2 linked regions of the Kluyveromyces lactis genome follow. The protein of the gene in region 1 binds, or shares a complex with, the protein of each later gene. Each region holds a gene or a part of one and is shown in the gene's direction. Other genes may lie near its edges. The genes, in order: BRE1 and RAD6.

Region 1 (4,040 bases):
GCATCTATTGTAAGAGGCGTATTAGTGGTTTCTGATATAAGATCTGAGTTTAAGAAATTGAGTAAAGTTAACCACCACTGAGTCAGTACATCTTGTTTAGGCCTGTTACGTAGTTCTTCTTCTGAGGATACTTCAATAAGTGGTTCCAGTTTACGTAATAGCGATAATAAATTCAATCGGAGGAAATTCGTCACCACTTTCAATTGTGACACAGACAACCCATGGTCAGGTCCGTGACCAATAGAACCCGAAGAGGCTGTGAGGTTAATGAATTTATTCAAAGAATTCAAAAGATGCATATCTTGCCTGCCAGTATCCATGTTAAATCTGTCTGTTCTTGATTTCTTTTACTGTTGGTTCTCAAAGTGTTCTATCTCAATTAATTGGTAACTTTCTTAGGTTACTGGCTGAAAGGTCGTTCAAAAGAGGATTTTATAACTCTAACCGCATGTACGAAACCTTTCCCCAAGCACGTAAGGCAACTATCGAACGAATAAAATGTTTTCTGAGATCTAAATTTGGGTCAGAACTGGAGAATCTACTTTTGTTCCCAGAGACAGAAAGATTTCAAAACACAGACGTCAGAGCTTTTGGCAATCCCTTATGAAATGTGAAATAATCAAAGCGAACGTTTTACACCAGGTGTTGATACAATCACTAGGGCTTCTCACAATAATACAATTGGATTTGGTCCCACTGCTATTCTCTTGTCTCTACACAAAATACTGAATGAATATAGAAACAAACTTTATATATTTTATGTGAACTTAAAGGATCTCAGATCTTAGAAATTCTTATATTGAAACGGAATGAAAAATCTTTGTATACTAAAAACAACAAGAATCTATTAGTAACACATGTAATAACATCAAATTCAACGCCATTTCCCATCACATTAGAACGCACACAGCCCAAGAGTTTACCATGTAATGAATTTATCAAAAAGTGCTGCCTGGCACTTCCTTTTTCCACCCTGCGAACATGGATTACTTGCTGCTACCTTCACGTGACCTTGGTTTTCGATAAATTCGCCAAAAATATTTCAAAGAAAAAAAGTTAAAAAGGTTTTACTTTAAAAGTTGACAAGATAGCATCACTAATGTCGGTCTTGAAGAGGTATCTCGAACGCCTTGTAAGGGTACTACTCGGCAAGACGTATTACTGACATTATAGTTTGCAAAATACTTAGTGTGGGAGGGTTTTTTTCAGTCTTTCACATCTAGAGATATATAATTTGAGACTGATTATCAGTGTGATATTCTGAGCTTACGAAATTCACGAAAGGTTTACTGTACTTGCTCACATTGTCATACAAGCTCTAAGTTTTCTGAGACCTATACATAAATCCGCATATATGAATGACCATTTTGTTAAGCGGCCAAAGCTAGAGCTTTCCGATCCTTCTGAGCCGTTAACGCAGAAGGATGTAATAGCGTTCCAAAAAGAGGCATTGTTCAGATGTTTGAATAAGTGGAGAGTCAAAGCTAACCAGCTTGTAGAAGAGAATGAGGTTTTAGCGGCTGGGCTTTCGAAGACCACCGAGTCGGTTTCTGGATGCTGTTCATCTATAGTCGTATTGGCTAGATCTGTGGTTGAGGACTGCAGCGATGAGCAGGACAAACGCTTTTTACAACAACTCATCAATACTGAGGATGAGCATACCCTTACACAGATAATCAGCAATAACAGTGCTAGGATATGCGAACTAATACTGAAGACCAGTGGATCTAACATCTCTGATAACATCGGTAGACTACAGGAGCTAGAATCGCTCACTTTGACTTTACAGAAGCTGTTGAAATCCTCTGAAAATAAGCTGAAGAAGGCTACCGAATATTATGAGAATATAATTGCTCAGTATGATAGACAGGACAGTGAAAGTGTTTCTCGTGTGTTTAACACTGCTGATGATGATAGCAATGTAAAGAAAGAGAAGCAATCTTCGACTGGCGCAAGCTCTGTGAATGACGAGTCAAATGATAACTCAGACAAATCCCAATCTAATAAAGAAAGTGCAGTATCTCAGGCTCACCACGAAATTGAAATAAATGACTTGAATACTCAAATCTCCGTCTTGGAGGCTACGGTAAAGGAATTAACGGAATGGAAAAATCAAAATGAAAGAGAACTTTCGGAACTACGACAAACAGTAGCATCTAATAAATCAGCGCTTTCTAACAACCAACTTCAATCTAATTCGCAACATCAACCAGATGCTTCAGTTACTAATGAAAAAATCAGTTCCTTAACTAAACAGAATGAACAGTTACAACAGATTAATGAAGGCTACTTAACCAAGTTTCAACAACTATCCGCGGATAGAGAAATATTCAACAATAAACTTACCTCAGAGTTTAATTTAGCACAGGAGACCCTTAAAAAGCACAATGCTTCTCTAGAGAAAGATTTAGTTAGGATCAGAACAATTCGTGATGAATTATTGGCCAAAGTTTCTCTTTTGGAGGCACAAAAGACCAAATCTGAGATGTTAGAGGATTTAGAAAAGTCATTGAATATCCAACAAGAACAACTACAAAAGTTTGAATCCAGAAGTTCAGAAAATGCGTCCCAAGATGCATTAATGAAAGAATTACAGGATCTCGAAAAGGCCTTCAGAGAGGTGTCACATCTTTCAAACAAAAAGTATGCTGCATACCTGAACCAAGAATCTGTTTTAAGTAAATTGACAGTTGAAAAGACAAAGGCCAGCGAAAAATATTTTGCTGCAATGAGATCCAAAGATGCTATAATGATAGAAAACAAAAATCTTTCTAAAAATTTGAACAAATCAAACGAGCTCATCGTTCAATTGAAGGACCTTGAAAAGACGTTACAACAGAAGATCGTAAACGTTCACATGCAGTTGAGCCTATCCCAAGAGAATGAGAAGAGGGTCAAAGAATCTAACAAAGAAACTTCAATGAAGATAGTGGAATTGACATCTGAGAATAATAAATTGAAAAAATCAACAGAACGTCTTGAATCAGAAACCAGAAATCTAATCGGAACTAAGACTGAGCTCGAATCTAAAATCAAGGACAAAGATATCGAAAACAAGCAGCTGAAGATCAAGGTTTCCAGTGCTGAAGCCAAGTCAAAGAAATTATACAAGACATTACTCTCTAATGGTGGTGACAATGGTGCTCTAGCCGAAGAGTTAGAGAATTTCCGTACTATAATCTACTGTTCATTATGTTCCAAAAATTGGAAGAATACTGCCCTCAAGACTTGCGGTCATGTGTTTTGCGATGTTTGCTGCAAAGAAAGATTAGCTGCTAGGATGAGAAAATGTCCTACATGTAACAAACCTTTCTCATCTAACGATTTACTATCCATACATTTATGAACGAGTCTTATTCCGCATTCTATCAGGGTGCATCTTGGAAAACAAGGCCGTTTATTTTCAAACGGTAAACACGCCTGTCTTCTTAGAATGGTATATATTTTTTGAAAATGCCTTATCCATCCTTACCCCCTTGACCCCACAGTTTGACTTATATACATTTTTCATTGTATATATTATCTATGTAACATTATTCTAATATATCGCTTGTAAATACCTAATTCGGTAGTTCTGATTAAAAAATCAACAAAATTCAAAGTCTGACATTTAATCGACTACTGCGATGAGATAAAGAAATCACAGGACTATTCTCATAGTAACGGCTCTCTATATATATAAGGTGGGACACACAAGAGCAGAAGCGGTAATACTAAGTATTAGTCGTCCGCTTAAAATTTTTGGTAGCGTCTCTAAAAGTACTGAACTGTCCTTTATTATCTCTAAGGTTTTTCCGGGTCGCACAAGAGCTCTCGGTAAGATGTCATTGTCAGTGCAGCTTCCTACCGCTAAGAAGCTAACAAAAAAAAATGATCCATTGCATATTATTAAAACTAGAAGTCAGACACACTGCAGACCAGCGACTATCGCAGGACCGATGGTTAGGTACTCTAAGCTTGCATTTAGACAAACATGTCGTCAATACGACGTCGATATCGTGTACACTCCGATGATCTTGGCTAGAGAATTCGTTAGAAAC
Region 2 (2,632 bases), on another chromosome or scaffold:
TCACATCCAATTATTTAAGTGGAAAGAAGGAAAACACACTTGTTTTGGGAGATATTTTCCAAAAATGTAACGCCAAGGAGTACTTGAACGGTGCGAGGGAAGTATGTGAGGCATACATCAATAATATGTATTTTGCGGGCATCAAGATGCCCGAATTGATTATCAACGGGGACACTGAACTAGAATTCTATTTCCTACCATCGCATCTAAAGTTCCTATTGGGAGAAATCTTAAGAAACAGCTACGAAGTGACTGTCAAGGAGACCATACGATTGGGACTAGAAAAGGCACCTCCGGTGACAGTAACTATAATATCGAATGACCAAAGTTATCTTTTCAGAATCAGTGATAGAGGTGGTGGAGTGCCACATTCTGATAAGCAGATATGGTCCTTTGGTAAATCAAAAGAGCTAGCCAAGCAATCCCTAGACAACTTCCATCACTTGCCTGGATTGCAGACTTTGTCGTTATATGATTCTTCTAACGGTGCTCATCTAAAATCAGATCGTTACAGACAAACATCGCTAGATCGGATGTCAGAAAACAATTTGACGAAAGGTAAATTTAAAGTTGGACAACCGCTAATGGAGCTTCTCAAACGATCTCCCAGATATAAACTTGGAATTGGTCTCGCACTATGCAAAGTATATGCCGAATATTGGAACGGTGATTTGACCGTACATTCTATTCAAGGTTACGGTACCGATACCGTTCTCAAACTAGGAAATTTGATGAGGCATACGGACAAATTGCAATTGGATAGAGTTTAGTAAACCAAGTTAGCAATGCTTATAGTAATGTATAGTAACCACTCTATATACCGATATTTACTTATTTATATCATCATTCGATGACTTATGGTCGTTTGGCATAGGAAAGCGTTTTATTATTACCCGCACAAATAGATTTCGCCACATTTCGAAAGAAAGTTGAAATAGATACAGGATGCGTTTGGAATAACTATTGGACTAAACGAAAGGTGCCAGTGGTTAAAGACACGGCAAGTAGTGTTCTGTGTGTTTGATTATTTGTTACTGGAGCTACTTTCGTTAAGAAATATACTATTGTGGTTCTTTAAAATTGATTTTACTGAATTGAGATTTCCTGTAGAAATAAGAGACGCCGATTACGAATAATTATTAAGAACTTGTCTCTGGTTGAACAATTAGTGGGATATAGCAGAGGATAGTCTTACAACTGGGAAACCGAAATATTATAGGAACCACTGACGTTTGTTAAACATTGTCATTGTACTGATAGAAATTAATCATTGAATATTGGTTAAACGAAATTATAGCCACTTTTCAAGAACCCTGTTTAAGTGTTAAGGGAATAAGTTTTAAGAAAGAATACTACAATATGTCTACGCCAGCTAGGAGGAGGTTGATGAGAGACTTCAAAAGAATGAAAGAAGACTCGCCACCAGGCGTATCTGCGTCGCCGCTACCTGATAATGTGATGATCTGGAATGCAATGATTATCGGCCCCGCAGATACGCCGTATGAAGATGGAACGTTTAGATTATTACTAGAATTCGATGAAGAATATCCAAATAAACCGCCGCACGTCAAATTCTTGAGTGAGATGTTCCATCCTAACGTGTATGCCAATGGTGAGATTTGCTTGGACATTCTTCAGAATAGATGGACTCCGACATATGACGTTGCATCGATTCTAACGTCAATTCAGTCGTTATTTAATGATCCCAATCCTGCATCGCCTGCTAACGTTGAAGCAGCAACTTTATTCCAGGATCACAAATCTCAGTACGTGAAACGTGTGAAAGAGACCGTAGAAAAGTCATGGGAAGATGATATGGAAGACATGGCAGACGAAGACGAAGATGAAGAATGATAATCGAAATTGATTAGATCCAATTTCTTAAACCGGAGTATTCCTTGTGAGCGAGAAGCATCCAAGTAACACGAAATATATATATATATATATATATATATATACGCATACAAATATCTACATAATAATCTCAACCCGTTACCGCTTTAATCAAAATGACAAATTGTCATATCCATGCGAATAGTTCTTTATACAAGGAATGCTGTGAGAGTGATCATCGAGGCGAATACGCCCACTGATATTGTTAGCGGATCTAGTTGTCTCTTTTTCTTTTCCCATTCGATTCTGTCACTTGAACAAATCGGTATAGGTGTCACCACCTTAGGAACATCGCTTTGATTGGAACTTACCTTAGCATTCGCATTCCACTGAATGTCATTAGGTTTTACCTTATTGAACTCTTTCCGCGGACCCCAAGTTCCAAACCCCAAAAGATACCACACTCGTTTTTCGTCATCGGTTAAAAATTTCCAAGGCAGCGGTGCCTTTGCATCAAGATGGTGTTTTAGTACGTTAATATCATTGGAAGTCCAGGTGTCAAAGGGCACATTTGTCAATGTTATACTGGTCAGAAGAGGCTTCAGTTGTTCGTATTGTTCTTCTAAAGTTGTCTCATCGAAATTATCTGAAAGTGTGAATTGTGATATTAAAGCACCTAATGTTGGGGTTGGTGCTTGAGTTGCCGGAGAAAGACGTCTGGCTTGACGTAGCAGTAAAGACTTGGGTACCGGACGTGGCATCTCCTTCTTAATTGGTGCTTTATAAGTTTGTGCTGCCG

The links.
Region 2: the proteins of BRE1 (region 1) and RAD6 are in contact, whole or in part, in a crystal structure (PDB 7W75), measured with the Kluyveromyces lactis proteins. Residues at the interface, in XP_451665.1 of Kluyveromyces lactis: Ser17 (codon at 1,403), Glu18 (codon at 1,406), Pro19 (codon at 1,409), Leu20 (codon at 1,412), Thr21 (codon at 1,415), Gln22 (codon at 1,418), Val25 (codon at 1,427), Ile26 (codon at 1,430), Phe28 (codon at 1,436), Gln29 (codon at 1,439), Ala32 (codon at 1,448), Leu33 (codon at 1,451), Arg35 (codon at 1,457), Cys36 (codon at 1,460); in XP_452450.1 of Kluyveromyces lactis: Met16 (codon at 1,405), Lys17 (codon at 1,408), Glu18 (codon at 1,411), Ser20 (codon at 1,417), Met39 (codon at 1,474), Ile41 (codon at 1,480), Asp50 (codon at 1,507), Thr52 (codon at 1,513), Ser148 (codon at 1,801), Trp149 (codon at 1,804), Asp152 (codon at 1,813), Met153 (codon at 1,816), Glu154 (codon at 1,819), Met156 (codon at 1,825), Ala157 (codon at 1,828).

What each region holds. Positions count from the first base shown.
Region 1 is NC_006038.1:267,104-271,143, reverse strand, and holds BRE1 (E3 ubiquitin-protein ligase BRE1), read left to right. Parts: upstream 1-1,354; coding exon 1,355-3,346; downstream 3,347-4,040. Other genes in the region: AHK1 (Ahk1p), read right to left, coding at 1-320; DUS4 (tRNA dihydrouridine synthase), read left to right, coding at 3,822-4,040. UniProt on the Saccharomyces cerevisiae protein: E3 ubiquitin-protein ligase that mediates monoubiquitination of histone H2B to form H2BK123ub1 in association with the E2 enzyme RAD6/UBC2.
Region 2 is NC_006039.1:502,706-505,337, reverse strand, and holds RAD6 (E2 ubiquitin-conjugating protein RAD6), read left to right. Parts: upstream 1-1,359; coding exon 1,360-1,854; downstream 1,855-2,632. Other genes in the region: protein kinase PKP2, read left to right, coding at 1-770; KLLA0_C05610g (uncharacterized protein), read right to left, coding at 2,043-2,594. UniProt on the Saccharomyces cerevisiae protein: E2 ubiquitin-conjugating enzyme that accepts ubiquitin from the ubiquitin-activating enzyme E1 and transfers it to a E3 ubiquitin-protein ligase.